Linked DNA regions of Tribolium castaneum. The protein of the gene in region 2 interacts with the protein of the main gene of each other region in a biochemical or structural test. Links are inferred from orthologs where the notes say so. Each region holds a gene or a part of one and is shown on either strand. Other genes may lie near its edges.

Region 1 (11,596 bases), on a different chromosome or scaffold from region 2:
CAGCACAATTTTTGAAAGTCATGTCTGATTCACAAACACTTCAAGAATCACAAAATTTATCGATGTTCTTAGCCACACAAAATAAAATTAGGGATGCTGTTAAGGAGAATCTGGAACGAATCAGTGGCTATGAGGAATTGCTAGCTGATGTTGTCAACATTTGCGTGCACATGTTTGAAACGAAAATGTACCTCACACCCAGCGAAAAACACATGCTTGTTAAAGTTATGGGCTTCGGGCTTTTCCTGATGGACAGCGAGTTGTGCAATATTAATAAGCTAGACCAGAAGAAGAAATTGAGGCTGGACCGCATTGACCGGATTTTCAAAGTGAGTGGCAAAAAATATAAAAGCAACTCGCATTTGATTGAATAACTCTGTTCAAGCTTAAATTAGTTCAATTAGTCCTTTAGTTTTTGTTATCCGAATGAATTGAAATTTTGCATAGTTACGTAATCTGCGTGACGATACAATTTTGTGTATTTAATACAAACTACAAACAAAATTAGAATTTACTCTCAAAAATCGCTTTGTATATTCAGATTATAAAGTTTAAATTTTGTGTACTTACGTCAAAAATGATTTTCAATAATTAATCAGAGAAACTGTATAATGAGTAAGCTCTTGACTTAACATTCTTGCCAGATCGGTGGCAAATTTTATATTTAATGCTTAAATAAAATCACGACTGGTTTATAAATCTACAACATTTGACCAAAATACGAGAAAGCCCGTTTTTTCGTAGAACTTGGAGGTTGTCCCTTTGTTCGGGGACATGCAGATCGCCCCTTTCAACTACATAAAGCGGAGCAAGCATTTCGACCCAAGCAAATGGCCTTTATCAAGTAGCAATACTCCCTCTCCCCAAGCCGATTTAATGGTACATTTGCCCCAAATTCGTGACGATCATGTTAAGTACATAAGCGAATTAGCGCGATACAGTAACGAAGTCACGACAACATACAAAGAAAGCGGTACTGACGCTGAAAATAAAGAAACGGCCGAACTTGCGCTCCGCGGATTACAATTACTGTCTGAATGGACAAGTGTTGTAACGGAACTGTATTCATGGAAGCTTTTACACCCAACTGACCACCATCAGAATAAAGAGTGCCCACAAGAGGCCGAGGAATACGAAAGGGCGACACGGTATAATTACAGCGACGAGGAAAAATTCGCGCTAATTGAAGTCATTGCGATGATTAAGGGATTACAAGTGCTGATGGCCAGAATGGAAACGGTGTTCACTGACGCAATTCGGCGGAATATTTACGCCGAATTGCAAGATTTCGTACAGATTATTTTGAGGGAACCGCTGAGGAAAGCAATTAAAAATAAAAAGGATCTTATCAGAAGGTAGCGCGTTTTTGTGTCCACATCACGTAACACGTTTTTTTAGTATCATTATGTCGGTGCGAGAAACTTGCGCTGATTGGCAGAGAGGTGTCGAGCCGACTCAAGACCCGGCTTTGAGGGGCAAAAAGGACGATAACGGGTTTAATGTTAAAGTGCCAAGGAGAAACGTGGGTCCTTCCTCCACCCAACTTTACATGGTCAGGACAATGCTGGAGTCGCTAATTGCCGATAAATCAGGCGGCAAAAGAACCCTGAGGAAGGACATAGACGGTCAATATTTAATGCAAATTGACCAGTTCCACAAAACCTCCTTCTACTGGAATTATCTTCTCAGTTTCAGTGGTACGTACAAAAACATTGATATTAATTCATTTCCTCCCAGAATCGTTGCAGCAATGTTGCGACCTGTCGCAGCTGTGGTACAGAGAGTTCTACCTCGAGATGACCATGGGACGGAGAATAAACGTGAGTAACGCGTAATTTTGCCAAAAATTTGCCAAACTTTTCATAGAAATGCACCGTGCGTCACGCTCATAACGAAGAATGTAACGATTTGATCACGATGGAAAAACGCATACAATTCCCAATCGACATGTCCATGCCTTGGATTTTGACTGATCATATTTTGAAAACTAAGGAACCCTCGATGATGGAGTACGTCTTGTACCCGCTTGATTTATACAATGATAGCGCGCTTTACGCACTGACAATATTCCGAAAGCAATTTTTATACGATGAGGTCGAGGCTGAAGTTAATTTATGTTTTGATCAGTTTGTTTATAAACTGAGCGAGCAAATTTTCGCGTACTATAAACAACTGGCGGCAAGGTATTGATAAAAATCATGGGAACGCTTTCACAATCAATCCTTTCAGTATCTTTCTTGATAAGCGCTTCAGAGTGGAGTGTGCCGCCTTGGGGGCTTACCTGCTCCCCTACCCGCGAGCAAATCGTTACGAAACCTTGCTAAAACAGCGGCACGTCCAGTTATTAGGGCGGTCGATCGATTTGAATAAGTTGATCACTCAGAGGATCAACACCGACATGCAGAAAAGTCTCGATTTGGCAATAAGTAAGTTCGAAGGCGGTGACATAACCGGGGTTATGGAACTGGAAGGCCTCCTACAAGTGAATCGGTTGTGTCATAAATTGCTGAGCAAGTGGCTCGCACTTGACGATTTCGATTCAATGTATCGTGAGGCTAATCACAACGTTTTGGCGCCCTATGGCCGCATCACCTTGCATGTGTTTTGGGAGCTGAACTACGATTTCTTGCCTAATTACGTCTACAATGCCGCGACGAACAGATTTACTAAGTATCGGGGGCAGATTGCTTTCGCGGGGGCTGTCCACAGAGATAAGCCGCCGCAAATGTCGCATCATTACATGTGGGGGAGCAAGCAACTGAACCTTGCCTACACGACTCAGTATGGCCAATATTCCGGTAAATCTAGCTTATGGTCCTAATTTTGTTTAACTAGTACGGTTTAGGGTTCGTCGGGCCTCAGCATTTCCACACAATGTGCAAACTCTTGGGTTATCAAGGCATTGCAGTTGTGATGGAGGAGCTCCTCAAAATTGTCAAAAGTCTGATCCAAGGGAACCTCCTCCAATTCACCAAAACTCTAATGGAGGTCATGCCAAAGCAGTGCAAATTGCCACGTTACGATTACGGCTCACCGGGTAATGATTTGCTTGATTTGGGCGGAATTAATAAGACGAATTTTAGGTGTGTTAAGTTACTACCACGCCCAATTGAACGACATTGTCCAATACCCCGATGCCAGGACCGAGTTGTTCCACAATTTCCGAGAATTTGGGAACATTATCCTGTTTTGTTTACTGATGGAACAGGCCTTGTCACAGGAGGAAGTCTGTGATTTGTTGCAAGCGGCACCGTTTCAGAATATCCTCCCACGGCCGTTTTGCAAGGAAGGGGAGAAGCCCGAAACGAAGCAGAAACGGCTTGAAGCCAAATATGCCGCCTTGCAGATTGTACCAAATATAGAGAAGTTAGGAACTGCAAAGGTTGGATAAATGTGCAAACAACTGTTTGTTATTTCGCCAATTTGTAGCAATCTTTGATATCGAAGGAGGGCGATTTATTGACCCGTGAGCGGCTGTGCTGCGGTCTCTCGATTTTTGAAGTTGTTTTGAACCGATTAAGGACCTTCCTGGACGATTCGGTTTGGGTCGGACCGCCGCCTGCTAACGGTGTCATGAACGTTGACGAATGCACCGAGTTCCATCGCTTGTGGTCGGCTTTACAATTCGTCTATTGTATTCCAGTTAGCGAGAACGAATATACTGTCGAGTGGGTACCGACTTTATGTTTCGTTTTATTTATTCCGTGTTTCAGGGAAATGTTTGGCGAAGGTTTGCATTGGGCGGGGTGTACAATGATCGTGCTTCTGGACCAGCAAAGGCGGTTTGAGGCCCTCGATTTCTGTTACCACATTCTGAGAGTACAAAGAGTTGACATGAAGGATGAAATTGTGAAAGGCATTGTATGTTGGTTGTACGGTTGTTTTCGGTCTATAATTGTCTTTCCCAGAGCTTGAAGAGAATGGTGGACAGGATCAGGCGCTTCCAAGTGCTCAATTCGCAGATCTTTGCGATTTTGAACAAGTTTTTGAAGTCGAGTGAGAACGACGAGTTGTCGGTTGAACATGTACGTTGTTTCCCGCCACCGGTCTACCCAATGAATCCGCAACAGCACTACCACGCACCCGAACATCTACGCCAGTGTTGAAGCACGTTTATTTTATACATTTGTTGGAATCAGCTTTCAACATTTTATAATCTTTTATATTTATTATAGTCCTACTACATGTGTAAATCTCATTACAAATGTATCGCCCACCCTCATTTATTATCGGCCTTATTGGTATTGCTTTAATTTTTCATAATAAAATTTTCGATGCCTGCTTGAGTGTGTTTTATTTCGCGCGTTGTTTCAAATTCAGGGCTGCCAACCGGGGACTTAGTCCCGCTGGTGACTGTTGATAGCAGCTGTTCGTCGTGTGTTGACAGTAGTTGAGAGATTTGTCAAACTATAGAAAATAATTCAATAATTTTGTAGTATTTTCTGTATTTTGAAAAATTAGACAATGACAATTTTACCAGCCAAAAGACCTTCGGCGAATCCGGAGGAGAAAAGCGACAATAGTCAGCAAAATGTGAGTAGATATGTTAAACTTGTCATTTTTGATCTTTTTTTAAGGAGAAACTTCATAATCATAAATCGTGTTATCTTTATTGTCAGCGTGTTGGACTAGCGAAATCTTTGCTTGATCTTGAAATTTTGTACACGATTGCGTAATTAGATAGGTTTAATAATGTAATAATGTAAAATAGGTAGGTAATGATTGCTTTCCAATACTAGCTCAAGAGCTGTCTAGGTCGGCTTCCTTTGTTCGAATAATTAAGGCCCGACTTTTTTTAGGGGAATTCCGAGCGAGCGGTGCGTAGGAGAGACGATATAAGTTCTCTGAATGAGGCAAGCCCTTCAAGCCGCCGATCTCAGTTCCCCTAGTAAGTTTCCACCCTCAATCGCGGAAAAATTCATTCTTGCTTCCAGCGTCAAGTCAACAACTGAGCGGAAAGAGCGTTTGAGGAAGCGATATAAAGAGCCAGATCGGGCGCGAGATAGGGAACGCGAGCGCGAACAAAAACGGGAAGTTCGGAGGGAACAAAAACGGGAACGAGTTGCTAAACGCGATATCTCAAATGAGCCTCTACATGACAATAATGCGAGTAATTCGGTTGTTGACTCAGTCGCTGTTGAGCCCACTTGCAACAACAACGAACCTGGGACTGCGAACAAGGAAGACTACACGGGCTTCAACAGCGAGGATGAGTACGATGACCAGGGACTCCTCAAAGAGCGGAACATACCGGATGAAGAGTGGCAAAAAAGGGACGTGTTATTTTCCCGCGGCATGTCCAACCTTGGGTTCGAAATCAAGCAAATGAACGAAGATGGGGCCTGTCTCTTCCGGTCGATAGCAGACCAAGTGTACGGCGACCAAGAATTCCATTATCAAGTCAGGCAGGACTGCATGAACTACATCGTAAGTTGTACGCAAAGTGGGGATTTTTTCTAATTTGTTTCTGGAAGGTTCAAAACCGTGACTACTTTGAACCTTACGTGACGGAGGATTTTGATAAATACGTTGCACGGAAACGTATATGGAACGTACATGGCAACCATTTAGAAATACAAGCAATGAGCGAGTTATATAATAGGACAATCGAAGTTTATTGCTACCAAATAAGTAATTTTTGCCTTTCTTCCGCCTGATTTTTACTAATACGCCGTTTCCAGCACCAATCAATATATTCAATGGTTCAAGATTAATTAACTCATATGAGCCTATTAGATTATCATACCACAGGATGTGTCATTATAATTCTATTAGTAACCCAAATAAACCTTCAGTAGGGGTAGGCTTAGGTTTACCCAATTACCATACCGTTGATATTGACAGAAGAAGGTTCAATGACGCTCTGCGGGCTAGTGATGAGTTGCTAATTGAACAGGTAAACCAATCAAATAATTCCCATTCATAAAAAAGTCACTGAATTTTTATAACATACTAACCACACAGTGGCGTACCAAAACATGTCCCTTTCTTCGCTCCCGCTGATTAAAAATGTATTATTTAAATTGATTACGTTCGGGGTTTTTTGCCCATTCGTGAAAAAAATATTTTTTGCGCCGAGTTTTGTAGAATTCTTTGGTAGAATTTTTGTCTTATTCGTTACTAATCAATTTTTTTCTTGTAGAAACGTGCTGATGGAGCTCGGTCGGAACCGCTTTGTCGCGGTACAAACTACCAAGTACAATGGTTTTTAACAGTGAAATTTAAAATATGGAACGTAAAAATAGTAAAATAAAATTTTATTTCAATTTATCACGATGGGAAATCGCAGTCGTCGTATTTTTGTGATTTTCTTGTTTTTATCAATAAATATACACTCACTTGTTATTGTTACGCCACTGGGAAACCTCATGTTGCGCATGAGATAAGTTACGGTTTTGCTTGCTGTGCGCACTCCAGGTAGCAGGCCCCACCTTTGTTCAAGGCTGCAAAACGGTTAGATAACGAAGCCTCAGGGGCGGAGCACAGCCACTGTCACAAGGCAGTAGCGTAGATGTAATCGAAAACACTTCGGTAAAAATTATAGGGGCTTTCACGAATTATTCTCAAAATTTTAACAATTACGCCTATCACTTTCTTCAAAATAAATAAAAGTACAACAAAACCCACATAAAACCTAGACTCGCGCTCATTACAGTATTATTACAATGTAAAATGAAGCTACTAGCTCGCTTTGGACGTTTTTTTATGTATTTTGAGGAATCGAATTCTTATTACAAAAATTCTACAGTGAAACCTCGTTATCCGAATTTAAAAAAGTAAAATTCGAGTTAAGGCGAATTCGTGTACACACTTCGCTCAGACTTTTTTTTGCTTTTACGCCAGTATTACTAATAAATTAAATTACTAATAAATCCTAATAAACATTTCACTAACCACAAGCGATGTCATAAAATTGACAGAAATAACACTTCAGAACCGGTGAGAGTGTAACGTATCTGTAGCCATGGGGGTACATTTTGAGACACACTGTACAGCACCGCTTTTATTACACTGTGTTTCGATCTACATTTATCGAAGCGACACGTAAGAAATGACAAAGGCGTTTTTTTCACCGCTTAAACTTATCTGTGCGTTCAAATCCACACAGGGACAAGTCACAATCCCTTGTAAGTGCCATTTTTAAGTCAAATTACTAAGCGTACTAGGCGTAATGAATGTGAGGTTATACATACCATTTTTTCGGTGAATTGGGACGGGGTTGCACTTTGCACTGTTAAACCCACACAAAGTGAATTATTGCAACAGTTTCGATGTAATATTCAAATTAAGTTGTGTACCGCACTGCTATCACTACATTGTCTAGTAGGGGGTGCCAACGTTGAAAACTCAAAAACCACGCAATGTTCACTAGCAAAATATAAAAACAAACATAAAAAAACACCCAGGCACACATTTTCACATATAAATTAACAAATTTACAAGTTTTGGTGGCGGGATTTCAACAAGTATGTGGACGCGAGATGGCGGTATAATCGTCCGGGACGTTTCTGTTCTCTGATTGGCTGTTGGTGTATAATACAATACTCGGAAATATTAGAAGATTAATTTTTTCCGACGTGATATATGCGTACAGATAGTGTTGTTTTGAATTACTAAGTGTTAGCTTTGTATTACAAAGGTTATTATATTTTTTTTCGTCTGTCGTGGATCTAGTTACGTGCATCCGTGAGACCCGAAATTGGCGCCCTGATTGACAGTTGTCTTGACTAATCAGAATCTTTCTAGACTATGCTAGAAGACAAGTTGAAAGCAACCGACTTTGAAGCCACCAACGAAGCCATCGAAGAACAGGTAGCTCGCGAGTCCTACATCCAATATTTTCGCGACTCAGAACGCCGTTTGAAGAACCAAGGACACTCCTGTGGTAGCAGTTCAACGATAACATCAGCAACCATGTCCAGCTCGCGCTCGTCGAGGAAAGGCTCGGTCTCCCCGAAGGGATCGCAGTCCCCCAAAGGGTCCAACTCGCCAAAGACAACACCACTAGGTACTCAAGTGTGAGTCGATGGCGTTTTTTAACATTTCCTTGCAGCGAGCCCCCGAGGCGCTGGGGCGCCGTCCCCATCGACTAGCCGCTATGAGGCCGACGTCAGCGGGGGCGATGTGGCGGGAGCCTGCGGTGGACCACCGGAGGAATTTCCGAAATTTTCGCCGCGCCGTTCTGAGCCCCCGGCCGAGGATGTTAATAACCCGGACTATGATGAAAATTTCAACGAGGACTTTAAATTTGATTTTGATTCCGATTCGGATCAGTCGGCTGGGGCCGGGCCATCAAACCGCGGTGATATAGGTTTGTCTGATTTTTGCTTCAAACAAAATGGACGTCGATTAAGTGCATTTTTCGGACAAAAATTGATATTTTAGCGATTTTTTCAGCTAGCCCTCCGGCCAAATGCGCTGCTTCATCGCAGGATAATCGAGTTATTACGGTAGGGTTAGCTTAGAAAAATTCTAAGCCCACATGTAATTGGGCAAAAATCGTGGTTCCTGAAGAGATTAGAGCTTGTAAAAGCTGTAGGTACAGCTAAATGGACCACCTATATTTTTTGCATTTTTGGATGCAGCTTTTAAAACTAATGACTTTGACTTTTATTTTTTTGAACTTTTGAACTTTTATTATTTTATTATACTTGTTATTATATTTTTTCACTTAGTAACATTATCATTTACAATTTTTCTTCATGTGTCACTCGCTATAACATACTACAATTTAATTACGTTATTGTAATTTAAAGTATCTGACAATTTAAGATATATTCTTTGGGGAAGCTTTTAAAAAAACATGGAATATTATTTTGTACTTTTTGCATATTGTGAGTGATTAAATTTAAAAAATATACAGAGCACTTAAAAACTGGCGCACCACGTTCTTGAGAAGCAAATGTAGATTACAGGAAAAATCTTAAAAAATTCCTACATTTATATTATAAAAAATATGGGCATACAAATTTACTTTGTTGACTCTTTTTTAATGTTTTTATGTTTCACACTTCCGATACCGGCTGTTAGACAATGATGCCACATATTTGACAGTCACAATTTAAGACAATTTAAAGAAAACACACATTAAAAATCTCCTTTTTATTTATTTTTCCAGAGCCACACGTAATTGAAAAAAATATTTACCGTTACATTCTGTTGTACGAAAAAAAACAAGCAATCTTAAGTATTATACATTATACAACCAAACAGCATATTAAATATCAATAAAAAATGCATTATTCTTTTTACTATTATTTACTTCCCTTTTTTCATTCTCATTTTTTTTGTTTCATTTACATTTTATTTATCTCATTTACTCTTTTTTCCTATTTAAGCATGGTTATGAATGTTTTATTCTCGTATTTTTTTTGCCCGGCGAATCGATTTAGATTTATTAAAATAAAATTTCGCTAAAATGTCAACTTTTGTCATCAAGCCGAAAACATCTGGCGGAAATGCACGGAAATATTTAATTTTAAAATGTGTGTGACTTTTACAGATTACGACAATTATGACCAGGAAATCATGGCCCAAGTGCTGGCCGAGTCGCGCAAAACTTACTTAGCTGAACTTAAGCAGCGATCCAAGAAGCGTCATGGATCTCCGGGACCATCCACTTCATCCTAGTTTAAATACTAAATTAATTGAGTTACATGTTCGTGCTTTCGTTTCATTTTTAGTTAATTAAGGTTCATTGTTTGCTTTTCAAGGTATGCAATTGCTTTGTTTTGTTATATAAAATGCATATCTTGTAAAATTGTATTGGCATGTTATAATCGTTTTTTAGTTAAAACGACCTTCCTCCACCCAGAAGATTAGTTTCGTTTTTTTGGAGAAAGAGCTTTCGTTTCTAGTACCGTAGTTTCGATTTTGCATGGATTGTGGGGGGGTCGTTTGTAAAAAAAAATTCAAAATGTTATATTTTGAGACACTGTTTCACGGATGTAAGTTTCGCCCTCTAAATTTCAGTGTCAAAAAGTATTTTATTTATGTTTTCAGATATCTATAAGTATATGTACTTATGAGTTCCAATGTATTTCAGTTTCGTTCAAATAAAATTGTTGTGATATTTGGCGTTTCATAATTGGACTAATCATGGTCACACCCAAAATTAAGACAACCAAGGTTGTTGCATACCAAATTATAGGTATTTCGTCACGTCGTTAAATATTTTGCCCTCAAAACAGAATAATTAACGTGGATGCTCCACTCAGGTAATTTGTATGCATATTAGGAAGAAAATATTTAGCAACATCGTAATGTACTTAACATGCATATCCCATAATGGTGTGCTTGGATTACTTAATTACAATGCCAAAAGAGAAATTCGCTAAGAAAAATATTATTTGAATTAATAACAGGGGCGGGCCTAGGACAGCTTGACTAACATGTGCGTGTTGCCAATTTGCGCACGCGTGTGCCATGGCCACCTATTGCCAATTTAAATTTTCGTCACAAACGACCGGCTATGTTCAATAATTTGGGAAAATATGGTGACTGTTCGGCGGGATTTGCCCCATTCTCTGAATTTCGTTGGTTATTTGTGCCAACTTGTGTTTTGTTTACATGACGTGGGGTTGCTCTCTGTCTTGTAGCTGGTGGAGGGGCGAATGTGCGGAGTCCGGGCCTGGCGGAGGCGCTGTTGCCAGTTGGTGTTGTTCAGGCAGTGATTTTGAGAAAAATAAGGAGAATATCGGTTGGTGGAGTCCAGTGCTAGTCCGAAATGCACTTATTTCGGTAAATGTGTGATATGAAGGCGTTTGGCGAGCTCGGGGTGAAGACCTTTGATACTAGAGTTCGGTTTGTTGTTGGTAGCAGTAGTCGGTAAGACGTTGTAATTTTGACGGTTGTGTGGCAGCTAGGCTATCAGTGTACAGTTTTATCGCAGTTTAACTGTGATAAGCAATATAGATAGCAATTATAAGAACACAATAAACGTTTGGAGCAGGTGAATAACGCGCACGAGTGTATAGTAATGTTGTGCGTTGTCTCATGCGTGTAGAAGTGCAACATTTATGTGAGGAGCTCGAGTAAAAAGGAAATTGGAAAAATGCCTCTGTTTGGTAAGGAGAAGAAAACGAAAAAAGATGGGAAAGACTCAGATAAGCAACCTTCACTCGAAGACAAATACTACTTAAAAGAATTACTCGGCACGTAAGTTGCTGTTTTTCATCTGTTGACATTACTCTAACCTCTATTTGTTTTCCTGTTGAAGGGGCGCATTTTCCGTTGTCAGGCTGGCCGAAAGCAAGGAAAAGCCAGGCCAGGTCTACGCCGTCAAAATAATCGACAAAAAAGCTTTAAAGGGTAAAGAAGATTCGCTCGAAAATGAAATTAAGGTGCTACGAAGGTAAGTCCAAGTGCGTTATTTTCAGACTGTTTACTCATAAATTCAACAAATAAACCCCCACACTATTAATCAAAACAAATATTTCGCCCGGCTTTTGCCCACTTGCAGGAGCGGCGATTAAATTATTATAGATCCGTTAAATCGCAAGCACCCATAAAGCAAATTTAGTGATTCAACTTCCGAAAATTTTTATTGTCCTGGAAAAACACACCAATTAAATATGCTGATTTTATTCAAACTAAT
Region 2 (11,383 bases):
GATCCGATAGTTTTACGTCTCAAGGGCGGAGGCTCCTCTCCTCCTGTTGCACAATTTCAGATGGTTTCTGGAAAATTTCCGAACCGATTTGAGAACTGAAGCAATTGCATAAGACGAAGTTCGGACCGAAAGAATCGGATAAAGGCTGCGGCCGCTTCTTTATCAGGGGCGGTAGATAGGCCTATCATATATAATCGAAGCTTTGGCTGGGTGTGGGCATGGCTTTGTTCAAAATTTACATTTATCTGCTGACTTATCTAGCAAAAGAATGCTTAATTTATAGCAACTTTCGTGTCATGCTCCTATCAATGAATAAGTAAAGTCCGTGTAAAATCCACAGTTCTTGGTACCGGCAATTAAAATTCTGAGATTATTTTTGCATGCCAGATAATTGCGATTGCGACTGACATATACAGGGTGTCTCAAGATTTGTGAGTGCCGAGTTATTTTTTTGAGAAATTGTTTTACATTGTTATTCTCCGCAATCATCTTCACCATAAATAACAATATACACTAAAACTTTAGTTCTGCATTTGAAGAAAACGCAATTCAAAGAGTGATCTTCAAACAAATCTTTGTGGAGAAGCTCCAAATCTTTTCTATGTTTGGAATACTGAAGCAATTCTCTATAATGCTCTGAACTCGAAATCTGTCAATTTTAAGTCACCCTGTAGGTTGTCCGAATTTTTTACTACTTCGGGCATCTTGTATAACACATTTGTTACGTCTTTAATAAAATGTTAACAATAATCTAAAAATCAGATAATTGTACTACCAGATAATGACATGTCAGTAAATTTGGAAAGAGCTTTATATCCAACCATCGAATAAATTATTTTTTTTTTAATTCACTCATTCTTTTTTTTTACGAACCCTTTATTAAAAAAAGAATAAAAATTAGGAGGACATTTATTTTCCTTGTTGCACAAACTGAATGCTAATGAATACGAATTAAAAAAAATCTACTAAATTGTTGATAATGTGATATTATTTATATATTTTTATTTTCGAATTATTAACATAGTAAAATTAGATAGTAATTTTAGTACAGCAAGTGTTGAATTATTTTGAAAAAAGGTGATTAAGTGCCAGAAAAATTTCGATACGAAAACAGAAATAGGGGCAAATACCGTATCGCTAACAATTTTTAATGTAAATGTGGAGACAAAAATTTTTAACAAAAAAATAAGGGAAATGCAAAATAATTATCAAACAGAAAACAATTAAATAAAGCTCTTTACATCACACTTGGCGAAGGAACCGACAAAAGTATAATTATTTTTTTTTAAACTTCGACTGAAGAAGAATTTAGTTTAAATAAATAACAGAATGTCTTTTTTTGCTAAAAACTTTAACTTGGCTAATAATTTTTCGGTAGATGTGTCCTTCTTTATTACAATTCTTATTCGAAACGCTTATTTTTACCCATAATATTGTTTAATACCTAAAATGTATCTTGATTCATGAAACAAAAATAGGTAAAATAAAAAAATTATAAACAAAAAACTATTGGTAATATGGATATTTTCTTGATGTTAATCAATTTTCCTGATCATTTTACATAAGATAGTATCAAAATAGTTCTACTTTTTCGAATAGTTTTGCCGTAATTGAGAAAAAAATTGTAAATACTATCTTCTAAACATTCAAAATTTTAAGAAAAAAAATATATTGTATAGATTTTTATCTGTTCTTTACGATGGAACAAACTGTTTTGCTCTAAGGGTTATAGTTTCGCCGTAATTGTTTCCTTTTTTATAGACACAAAGTGGTGATTTTAGGTGTAAGTACGAAATAACGCACTGAAAAGACAGAAGTCTATCTAATTTTTGATAAAATCTTCCGATGAAAACAGCTAATTTTTTAAGAAATTTCTTGGGACAAAAACAGTAAACATATAAAATTTGTGGCCCATGGAGATGAGTTGCTGCCGCTTATTGTTCCTTAACTTCATTTTGTAATTTTGTACGTTAGCGTTTTAAAATTCCGCCATAACAATACTTTTTTGGCGAACTTTTGGTGGGGAAACATTGATCTAGATAATAGTACTTCTCTCTAGTAATGATCAAGAATATAGTCTGTACCTTCTTTCTGTTCTTTTAGACTGAAAGAAGTAGCTGATAGAATCAACCGCCTCGGCCACACCTCGCACCCAGGTCTGTCCAGCCTCCGTTCCGGTATAAAAAAAATCTGTCTCGGCCCTTCGTTTATCGCCCTTCTTCTCGACGATGGCCGTGTATGTCGTGTTTCCTACAACGTCCTCTCCGACCGTTTAGACCTCAGCAAAAATGACTCGACTAAAAAGTGAGTATTTGACGCACAGTGTCGTCGTTGTGTCCATTTTTAACACTGTGCCTTATTAAATCTGTTCGTTTCCACCAACCAAAGACCTTGGTTGTTGCGTAGTTCCGGTGGCGGTGCTACTGGCGGCTCAAGCGGTGGTGCTGGCGGTGGCAGCGGCAGCAGCAAACCCACCGGAAGCGGAAGACAGATGCCCAGGACCAGGGCCAGGATTATGCGCTCGAATACGGCCATCAGAGGTGGAAGCAATAGCGGTGAGTTTCTTCCTCTGTATTTCGTTCATATGAAGATTTAGTGTTTGTCCAGACCCTTTTCAGGGCAATATACTTGGTTTAACTCTGTCGTCCTTAAATGTACAGAGTCCTTTACTTTCAGGCGGTCGTGGTGCTCCGGTTATCATAGGAACGAGCAGTTCGAGCAGTGGAAGGCCGATGGTGACGGTGCCAGCGCCCTACGTCCCAGAAGAGCTGGTTTCGCAAGCTCAGGTGGTGCTTCAGGGGAAGAGCCGGAATTTGATAATACGGGAGTTGCAACGCACAAATCTTGATGTTAATTTAGCCGTTAATAATTTATTGTCGCGCGATGATGAAGAAGGAGAGGAAGGAGACGATGCAGCTGATTCTTACGTTCCAGAGGATCTAATTTCGCTGCTTGACGGAGGGTTTCATACCGATCATTCGGTGATAATCGATGCTGATGCGATGTTTTCCGAAGATATGTTTGGATATTCGGGCATTAGGAAGTAAGGATTTTTGGTTTGATCTGTTTGACTCGCTTTTTGTGTAGTTGCGCTTTTTTTGTTGGTTAACAACTCTATCGCTTGCATTTTTTTCTATTTTTTTTGCATTTTAACTAACTCGTTGGGAATGTTTGACTTTGCTCAAACAAGCTTCCTTAATAGTCGCGGCAGTGGAAGGAGTCGATTGGCCGACAGAGATGCACCACCGAGCAATAGTTCGAATTCAGATCGAGACAGAGAGAATTTTTCGAGGTGGAGAGATCGTCAGTATTTCGGACCTAGGAGGTGGCTTGAAACGGCACTAAGGGAAAGTCCGTACGAAAAAGATTCAGGTTGGTGCTAGTGATTTTTATTGAATACGACATTAAATACCAAATTTAGATCACAAGAAGAAAGACAGCGCGTGTCCACTTTGGATTTCCGACGACTTGGAATTTTGGCCCGATTCTGCACCGAAATTCGTCCAAATTGCGAGTCTCTACTCGGAATTAATCGCATTGTCGAGTAACGGACAATTGTTTCAATGGCGTTGGAACGACCCCGAACCTTACAGACATCCAGAGGTACGTTCATAGACACTTGAAACCAACCGAAATGCATTTATTCGTTCCAGAATTGTAACATACATCACCCCAAGACAGTTCCTTTGGGTCTAATGGGCGAAAAAATCGTCCATCTCTCGGCTTGTTGCACCCGTTGCTCGGTCTCAACCGAAAGCGGCAAAGTCGCCACTTGGTTAGACGAGCTTTTGGCGCCAGCAGCAGCTAAATTGGAACATTCAGCTCAGGCCTATTCCGAGTTTCAAACTGACAAGGTTGCAGCTTTGTACACGTGTCCGTTGTACACGGTTGCGAAGCTTGAAAGTGGTGCTTTGTACTGGTGGTGAGTATTGATTCACGTATATTATTGACCCATTTTGCTAAAAAAATTGATTAAAGGGGCGTTTTAACCGTTTGCTCAACGCAAACGATTGTGGGAGAAATACCGTACAAAGTGCCGGAAACAAAGACCTTCAAACAATCAATCAGAGATCGTTACTGGGTCGCAAGTTTGTATGAAGAACAGTCCCATGTATCAAGCGGGTGCGATAGGGTTTACCATCGCCAATGGAGTACCAAAAGTGGGCCAATTACAGAATGCGGCTTGGACGTTGAGCGATACTTGCACTTTTAAGATTATCAACGTGCAAACGAGTGGAGCTTCGAGTGCCGATAAGGGGAGAGATGCCGTGCCGGGCCCTAGCGGGTTATGTAAGTCTTTTTTGATATTTATAAACTATTTTATCTGTACTGGACTTAAATGTTTACGGGGTTAATGTTCGTTGCAGCGAATTTAACAAATAAAAGTTCGTCGAATAAAGAAAACGCCGATAGGCTTGATATGCCACCGCCACCATCGCCGGCTTCGAGTACTTGCAGCGATACCGGAAGTATTTCAAACAGTCACAGTAAGTTTTCTACAGTTATTGTAAAACCAATTAATAAAACAATTAAAGAGCGCCAAAAACGCATGACCGTGTCTGGGAGCGACACCGGTTCGGAGCAAAGAAAAGACGAAGAGGAGTGGCTTCTACGGAATGTAATTTTCGTGGAAGATGTACGAAGTGTTCCAGCAGGTCGCGTTTTGAAAGTGGACGGTGCTTACGCCGCCGTCAGATTTCCAAGTGGACATTCCAGAGATCGTGACGCCAAAGATGCCGACGATATTTTCCAAGATTGTCGATTGATGCGCAAGGACGACCTCCAAGTATGAACAATAATTTGGTTTCGGTCAAAATTATTTGTGTTTTGTAGGTGATCAAATCGTCGTCTAATTCACGCGTTCCTGACTGTTTTCAAAAAACACCTCGACGTATCCAAATTTCCGACAATAGCAATCAAATTCTCACGATTGCCGTTGATGGACAAGGCATACATGCCATAGTTCGGAACGGGAGTAAATTGAGTTATGTCGTTTACAACGTCAGTAGCGGAAGAATTGAACAAGATAATCCATTTCCGAGCGACACTGCTTCGTTCATGGGGCTCTATCCACATTTGATCAACTTGATTTGTGCTGGAGAAGTATGTCGTTTGTAGTGTTTGCCTGATTGTTACATTGTTTGTATTTCAGAGTTCTGAAACAATTTTGGTTTTGCGCGACGGTAACAGCACGATTTACCCCCTCAGTAAAGATTGCGCCGATGCGATTCGCGACCCACAATGTCTAGACTTGCCTCCAGTCAAGTGCCTGACAGCTGGTACATTTGGTTTGACTGGAACCGGCCTCAACATGAAGAATCAAGTGGCTATTGTTGTCTTTGCACTTGAACAACAACTACTCATGCCGAAAATACTACGTTGTGATATTGATGGCGTCCGGCAAGTTTTGGCCCAACTAGACAGCGATTTGAGTAAGTTTTACTATTTTCCCGTGTGATATTGTGATGAAAAATTTTCAGAAGCCAACATTTCGAATATCTTAAACGAACGTTGCGACGGCAATCGTAACATTTTCCACGCTGTTGTGAACATGTGTACGCCGACGTCGAACAAGGAAACTGAAAGCGGTGAGTTGGCCAAATTTATGCTTTAGGTGATTACGTTAGGCTCAAGTCGCGTGCGTAGCTTGATTTGTTGGGATCGTCATTTCCAGACCCGTCAGCTGGCCTGGAATGTATCAATGTGATAACGAACGCCGTAGGCCCTCGATCAGTTACGCTACGCGATATGATGCGTAGAGCCGTTGTACGTAGCGAAAGCGCACTCAACAATACTTCTAACTCTGCAGATCAGCACAGTTTCGTCCAAGAAGAACCGATACCGACACACAGTTGGCCACCGGAAAGCTTCGATGTTACGTCAGGCGATGAGGATAGTCTGATGGGTTTGGGAAGCAGTGCTGCCAATAATAAAGGGAGCGGAAACAACAGTAACGCACCGACGAATCTCGTCGTCGATCCAGTTGAAAGACGATCAAACGCGATGCAAATCTTACACGCGCTTTTGTATGATTCCTCGGCTTTGGAGTCGCATCTCATCGAGCTTTTATGTGCAAAGTAATTTTTTTCTCTGCGAGTTTGATTAAATAACCATTGGGATTGGTTTTAGGGATGCACAAGGTCAAACTCCGTTCATGTTGGCCGTATCGTCGCGAAGTTATCCAGCCGCGTTGGAAATTTTCGAAAGAATCATTAAATTGGGGACTCCTCAGGAACGCGAAGAGATGATCTTTCCGAAAGGTTCAAATCCGGATCACTCACCTCTGCATGTTCTGTGCTGCAACGACACGTGTAGTTTTACCTGGACTGGGGCCGAACACATCAATCAAGTAAGACATGGTACGAAAAAAAATAGTTTTTGTAATTAAAATTGTAGGATATTTTTGAATGTCGCACTTGTGGCCTCACCGGAACGCTTTGCTGCTGTACGGAGTGTGCGCGTGTTTGCCACAAAGGCCACGATTGCAAGTTAAAAAGGACTTCGCCTACGGCTTACTGCGACTGCTGGGAGAAATGTAAATGCAAAGCATTGATAATGGGGAACCAAACGGTCCGTTACGAACTTTTGACACGTTTGGTTAAAGAAACCGATCTCGTCTGTTTGCCGAATTCACGCGGCGAAAGTATCTTGCTGTTTTTGGTCCAAACTGTTGGTCGACAAAATCAAGAACAGCGACAGTTTCGTCACACCAGGCCCAGGACGGCATCGGCAAATTCCCGAAATAAAACACCTTCTTCAGATAGTGAGACTCTTTATTCTTATTTGACTCGTATTAACTGTCCGTTTGTGTATTCTCCTTCTGTTTCAGTTGAGACCGATATGCCCGAGCATGATTTAGAGCCTCCCAGATTCAGTCGTCGAGCTTTGGAGTGCCTTTTAGGCGACTGGAAAGCCGTTCAAAGTATGATAATGTCGGGGACTCGAGACGTTTCCGAAACACAATTCACCGAACAACCTTACGTCTCCAAACAGACCGGAACGGCACTTTTGGATAAATTCTCCTTGTGTTTCCTTGTCAAATGCCAAATGGTAATCGACGTACTTCTCGAAACCTTGATCAGAGAAATGAAAAATCCAGATGCGAAACAAGCCCAATACGCCACAATGGTTTCGCGGCGATTCGTCCGCTCAGTTGTGCGTATTTTTGTCGTTTTTTCCATCGAAATGGCACCGAACTCGACGAAACGACGCAGTTTAAGCAACCAAAACCAACCGTTGACTAAATGTCGCAAAATATTCCAAGCTTTGAGCAAACTATCGATTGAGGAGCTGTGTGAGAGCGCTGACGCTATTATGGCACCGGTTCGATTGGGCGTAGCACGACCAACTGCCCCCTTTTCACTTGCAACATCCGTAAATGACGTTCTAAACGGATCGGAAGAATTATTCCTAGTTGATCCTTTAGCACCGTCGAGTTCACGACCTTCTGGGTCTTCAACAATGCCGCGGTTTCCGTTTTTGGCCGAAGCTGTGCGAAGAGCGGCCGCTAATGCACGCGATCTGGCAAACGCTCGCGATTTATTGAATTTGAATGATGGTGAAAGTATGGCGATTGATAATGACGATGATAATGCGTCCGAACATGAGGATGTTCCCGCTGATCGTGAATTGCCAATTACTGTTAGACAGTCGTCGACTAATGAAAATGAAACGGTCGAAGCTGCTCCGTACCAACAGGAAAGTCGAATCCAAGGCGAGGAAAGCGATCCCGAATTGGATCTGTTGGCGGAGACGGAGTCGGATAGTGATGATAATCATAGTAATCAGGATGCTGCATCTGCACAGAGGTCGGTACAGACGGGAGCAACGGCCGGATCTGATACCGGTAAGTCAATTTGATTGGTGGAGAGAAAGGGAGAGAGTGAGGAGCTAGCTCATACCTATATTAATCTATACTGCAAAAAAAAGACATAATTTAAAAAAACAATGTTTCAAACATCGCATTATCTTAATAACGTATTGCATTCAGCAATTTATTTCTTGTGTGCCGACGATACACACAGGGTCTAAGGCAGTATATTTTAATATAGGCGTGTGAGAGCGGGTGGTTGGTTGCATGTGTATGCAATTCTGTGTAACTTATCAGGAGGTATGCTGCTGTTCCCGGAAGACGAAAGCGGCGAGTCAAGCCAACAGGAAGAGGAAGAGAGCGAAGCGGGCGAAACTGACGAACAGGACACTGAAGATTATACGTTGACGGATGAACAGTTGGAGCGAAGAAGGTAAATTTGACAATTTTTCTTAGCATTTTTCTTCAAGTAATTTATTTTATTATGATTATTGGCTCTTGATTTAGTGATGTTTTTTGTGTTTCTCATTACTCTGATTATTGTCTATGAAAGAAGCCGTTACAGCAATACGACCGGTCATGGACAGAGGAGCAATTTGGCCCCGCAGAATATGCAATGGGCAATACGGTCACGTGAAGCAAGCAGATCGGCTGGTGTTCGATTGGCCAACGGTTCTAATTTAGTTTTTATTGATCCCAGTACGTTAAGACGATCTACGACTGGAAGTACGGCGGTCGCTGCAAGCTCGGAACCGGTGGCCATGTCCACATCGGCCAGTTCCTTAGCTAGGGCCTTCGGTAAGTACAGCTTTTACGTACTTGTATTTTTTAACTTACTAATCATTACAGGCGCAATTATTCGCCAAATCACGGACTTGTTATCCTCACTGCCTGACCTGAATCAAGCCTTGTCGACTGTTGCACACATGGAAGTGTCACAAGATGATATCTACAACATACAAGTGAGTTTTTAGTAATTTTTCTAACTGGACACATGACTGGTTGTTGCTTCGTAGATTTATCTAGAATTCCGCCTGAAGCCGACCTGGGATTGGCTTTTGACAGTGATGGACGCCACTGAAGCCCAACTGAAATTCGGTGCATCTCTAACCAATTCTCTCGATCTTTCGAGTCCAGGTCATCCGCTCAATACCGGAATTACGACCGGAGTCTCGGCAAATAATTCAAGCAATCTTCGATCGAGTGGTCACCGGGGTCATACCATTTCCAGTAGTTCTGGTACACGATTGGTCGGTTTTACCACAAACGTGGAAAGTCGAACTCGACCTGAACGCGATGGTGTGGACGCTCACGCGGCCCGGAGAGAATTTCTCTCCTATTGTTTGTCATTAATGAGAGCTCACAACAACGAACATTTGGATTCGTTACCGATTTTGGACGTTTCGGCTTTGAAACACGTTGCTTATGTTTTCGATGCTCTGATTTATTTTATGAGGTCGGGATCATCTGACCGCAATGATACTGACTTGCGACGTGATGGTTTTTCGCTTCCGTTGTGGAACGATCAAGACGAGAACGAGAACGAAGAAGCTGAGGAAGACATAGCCGTGGCAATGGAAACTGAAAGTTTGGAAGACCAAGATGTTTCTAATCTTGCGACGATTTCGAGTACTTTAAATTCGTCGAGTTTGCAAGGAGGGTCGGGAAAAGGTCGCAAACATTCGTTTTTCCAACGATCGGAATCCACTTTGTGTCTAGGTTGTCCTCCACCAGATCCTTTTGAAACGCCAATGGCTGAAGCACTACCACTGGCCGACCAACCTCATCTCCTACAACCCAATGCAAGAAGGGAAGATTTGTTTGGGATTCCGAAACAACCAATCACTTTGGCCTCCACTGGAACCATTTCAAACAATCCTCTCGAATCACTTCCTACGAAATTGAGTCTTTCGACTCGAACTACCGATTTTGCGATGAGTCAACCGGCAAAAGCCAACCACCCAATTTCCCAATCGTTAAACGTTATGGGCCCTAACCCCTTGATTTACCCCCAAAATTACAACCCAGAAACAGAAACAAACGCTCGAGAAGTGCACGTCCAGACTGAAACCTACTCCAACGAACCGTCAACATCCGATGAAACCAAAAACAAGAACTTGCAAACTTTTGAGAGTCTCCTCGCCGCTGTTAAGAATGAAATTGGCGAAAATAGCAAAGAAAACACTCCGCATGACTTATCCTCGCGACATAATCAAGAAGTACCGACATCGAGGCCGCAGATTATCGTCTCGCCGAGAAAAATTTCCGAAGTTTCGAGTCAGGAGCAACAAGAAGGTTTGAATGGTTCGAGCGAAGCCACACAGGATTATAGTAGTGGATCGACGACTCCATCCTCCAGAAGTCCAAGCAAGAGTGTGATAGTTCGAGCGGGATCGTCAATGGTAAGTTGTAGAAAAAATATCGCGTGGACCTACGATACGTACGCTCAAGCTTAACATAACGGGCGTATCACACTCAGGTCCTAGAACGAATTGCTCTCTGATGACTTTGGTTTGTCGAGCTTTGAACCAAGGACAGATACGGGGCATACATTTCTGTAAAATAATACAAGGCGTCTAACACCCAAAAATATTAAAATATATTTGGAACTTCCGATTTTTTTAAATATGACGTGATAAATGTGTTACGTTCATACTGAATGTGAGATTGTTTTTTGCAGAGTAATCAGCAAAAATCGAATGATTCGAACGTGATGATGTCTGTCGATTCTCAACAACCGGAAACGTTAGAAAATCAGGAAATATCAGCCAACGTAACTGTCGTAACAACCCCGAGCCTCAATACTGATGTTTTACGTCCGACGATTGGTCAGTCCGTATCGCACGATTTACTATTGGGTCGTTGGAGGCTTTCTCTCGATCTTTTCGGTCGCGTTTTCATGGAAGATGTCGGACTGGAACCGGGCTCTATCGTTTCCGAATTAGGTGGATTCCCAGTGAAAGAAGCTAAATTTCGACGAGACATGGAGAAATTACGAAACAACCAGCAAAAAGACTTGACTCTTTCGAAGGTATTTATCGAAATTGATGCGAATTGTTGATTGCATTTTTGTGTCTGTAGATGGAAAGAGATCGCACTCAACTTCTCCTGATGACATTCAAAGAATTGAACACTCAGTACAACAACTACAACCGCCGCAATTCATCGTCGCCCCCTCTGGCGGTGAATCGAGTGAAAGTGACGTTCAAGGACGAACCTGGTGAAGGATCGGGCGTCGCTCGTAGCTTTTATACGGCGATAGCCGAAGCGATTTTATCCAATGAGAAGCTCCCGAATTTGGAGTCGGCTCAAGTCGATAATAAGTACACCCAATACAGCGTTTTGCAGCGACTGCGGCGCGACCGAGACGTGTTGCGCCGAACCGTGCCAATGAGAGGTTCAAATCGGTCGCGTGAACACCGTCGAACGATGAATGTCGATGCGAGACCGTTCGTTCCGAGCGATAATTTCCATTCGGATGCGCCGTCAATGCCTGATCTGTCGACATCAGGGGGGAATCCCACGGGAAATCAAAATCGTAACGAACAACTCTCCGCGCACCAACAACAACTA

What was found.
Region 1: the proteins of hyd (region 2) and Duba form a complex in vitro, tested with the Homo sapiens proteins (2 studies listed by BioGRID, with this or other methods). The link is inferred for Tribolium castaneum from reciprocal best matches to the Homo sapiens genes UBR5 and OTUD5.

The regions. Positions count from the first base shown.
Region 1 is NC_087403.1:2,182,695-2,194,290, forward strand, and holds Duba (OTU domain-containing protein 5-A), read left to right. Parts: upstream 1-4,346; 5' UTR 4,347-4,464; coding exon 4,465-4,533; intron 4,534-4,799; coding exon 4,800-4,888; intron 4,889-4,934; coding exon 4,935-5,427; intron 5,428-5,474; coding exon 5,475-5,631; intron 5,632-5,681; coding exon 5,682-5,896; intron 5,897-7,746; coding exon 7,747-8,008; intron 8,009-8,053; coding exon 8,054-8,311; intron 8,312-9,502; coding exon 9,503-9,630; 3' UTR 9,631-10,072; downstream 10,073-11,596. Other genes in the region: Cyfip (cytoplasmic FMR1-interacting protein), read left to right, coding at 1-329, 745-1,355, 1,399-1,697, 1,738-1,820, 1,867-2,183, 2,230-2,798, 2,846-3,037, 3,084-3,382 and 3 more; CaMKI (calcium/calmodulin-dependent protein kinase type 1), read left to right, coding at 11,054-11,157, 11,219-11,353. UniProt on the Homo sapiens protein: Deubiquitinating enzyme that functions as a negative regulator of the innate immune system. Has peptidase activity towards 'Lys-48'- and 'Lys-63'-linked polyubiquitin chains. Can also cleave 'Lys-11'-linked ubiquitin chains (in vitro).
Region 2 is NC_087398.1:9,884,177-9,895,559, reverse strand, and holds the start of hyd (E3 ubiquitin-protein ligase hyd), read left to right. Parts: upstream 1-4,094; coding exon 4,095-4,290; intron 4,291-4,367; coding exon 4,368-4,487; intron 4,488-4,535; coding exon 4,536-4,786; intron 4,787-4,833; coding exon 4,834-5,103; intron 5,104-5,152; coding exon 5,153-5,432; intron 5,433-5,480; coding exon 5,481-5,588; intron 5,589-5,809; coding exon 5,810-6,077; intron 6,078-6,129; coding exon 6,130-6,349; intron 6,350-6,396; coding exon 6,397-6,763; intron 6,764-6,829; coding exon 6,830-7,846; intron 7,847-8,107; coding exon 8,108-8,243; intron 8,244-8,363; coding exon 8,364-8,608; intron 8,609-8,659; coding exon 8,660-8,772; intron 8,773-8,826; coding exon 8,827-10,212; intron 10,213-10,236; exon of another isoform or gene 10,237-10,365; intron 10,366-10,490; coding exon 10,491-10,841; intron 10,842-10,891; coding exon 10,892-11,383. Other genes in the region: E3 ubiquitin-protein ligase hyd-like, read left to right, coding at 2,104-2,304, 2,389-2,555, 2,677-3,043, 3,191-3,372, 3,422-3,603, 3,654-3,926. UniProt on the Homo sapiens protein: E3 ubiquitin-protein ligase involved in different protein quality control pathways in the cytoplasm and nucleus. Mainly acts as a ubiquitin chain elongator that extends pre-ubiquitinated substrates.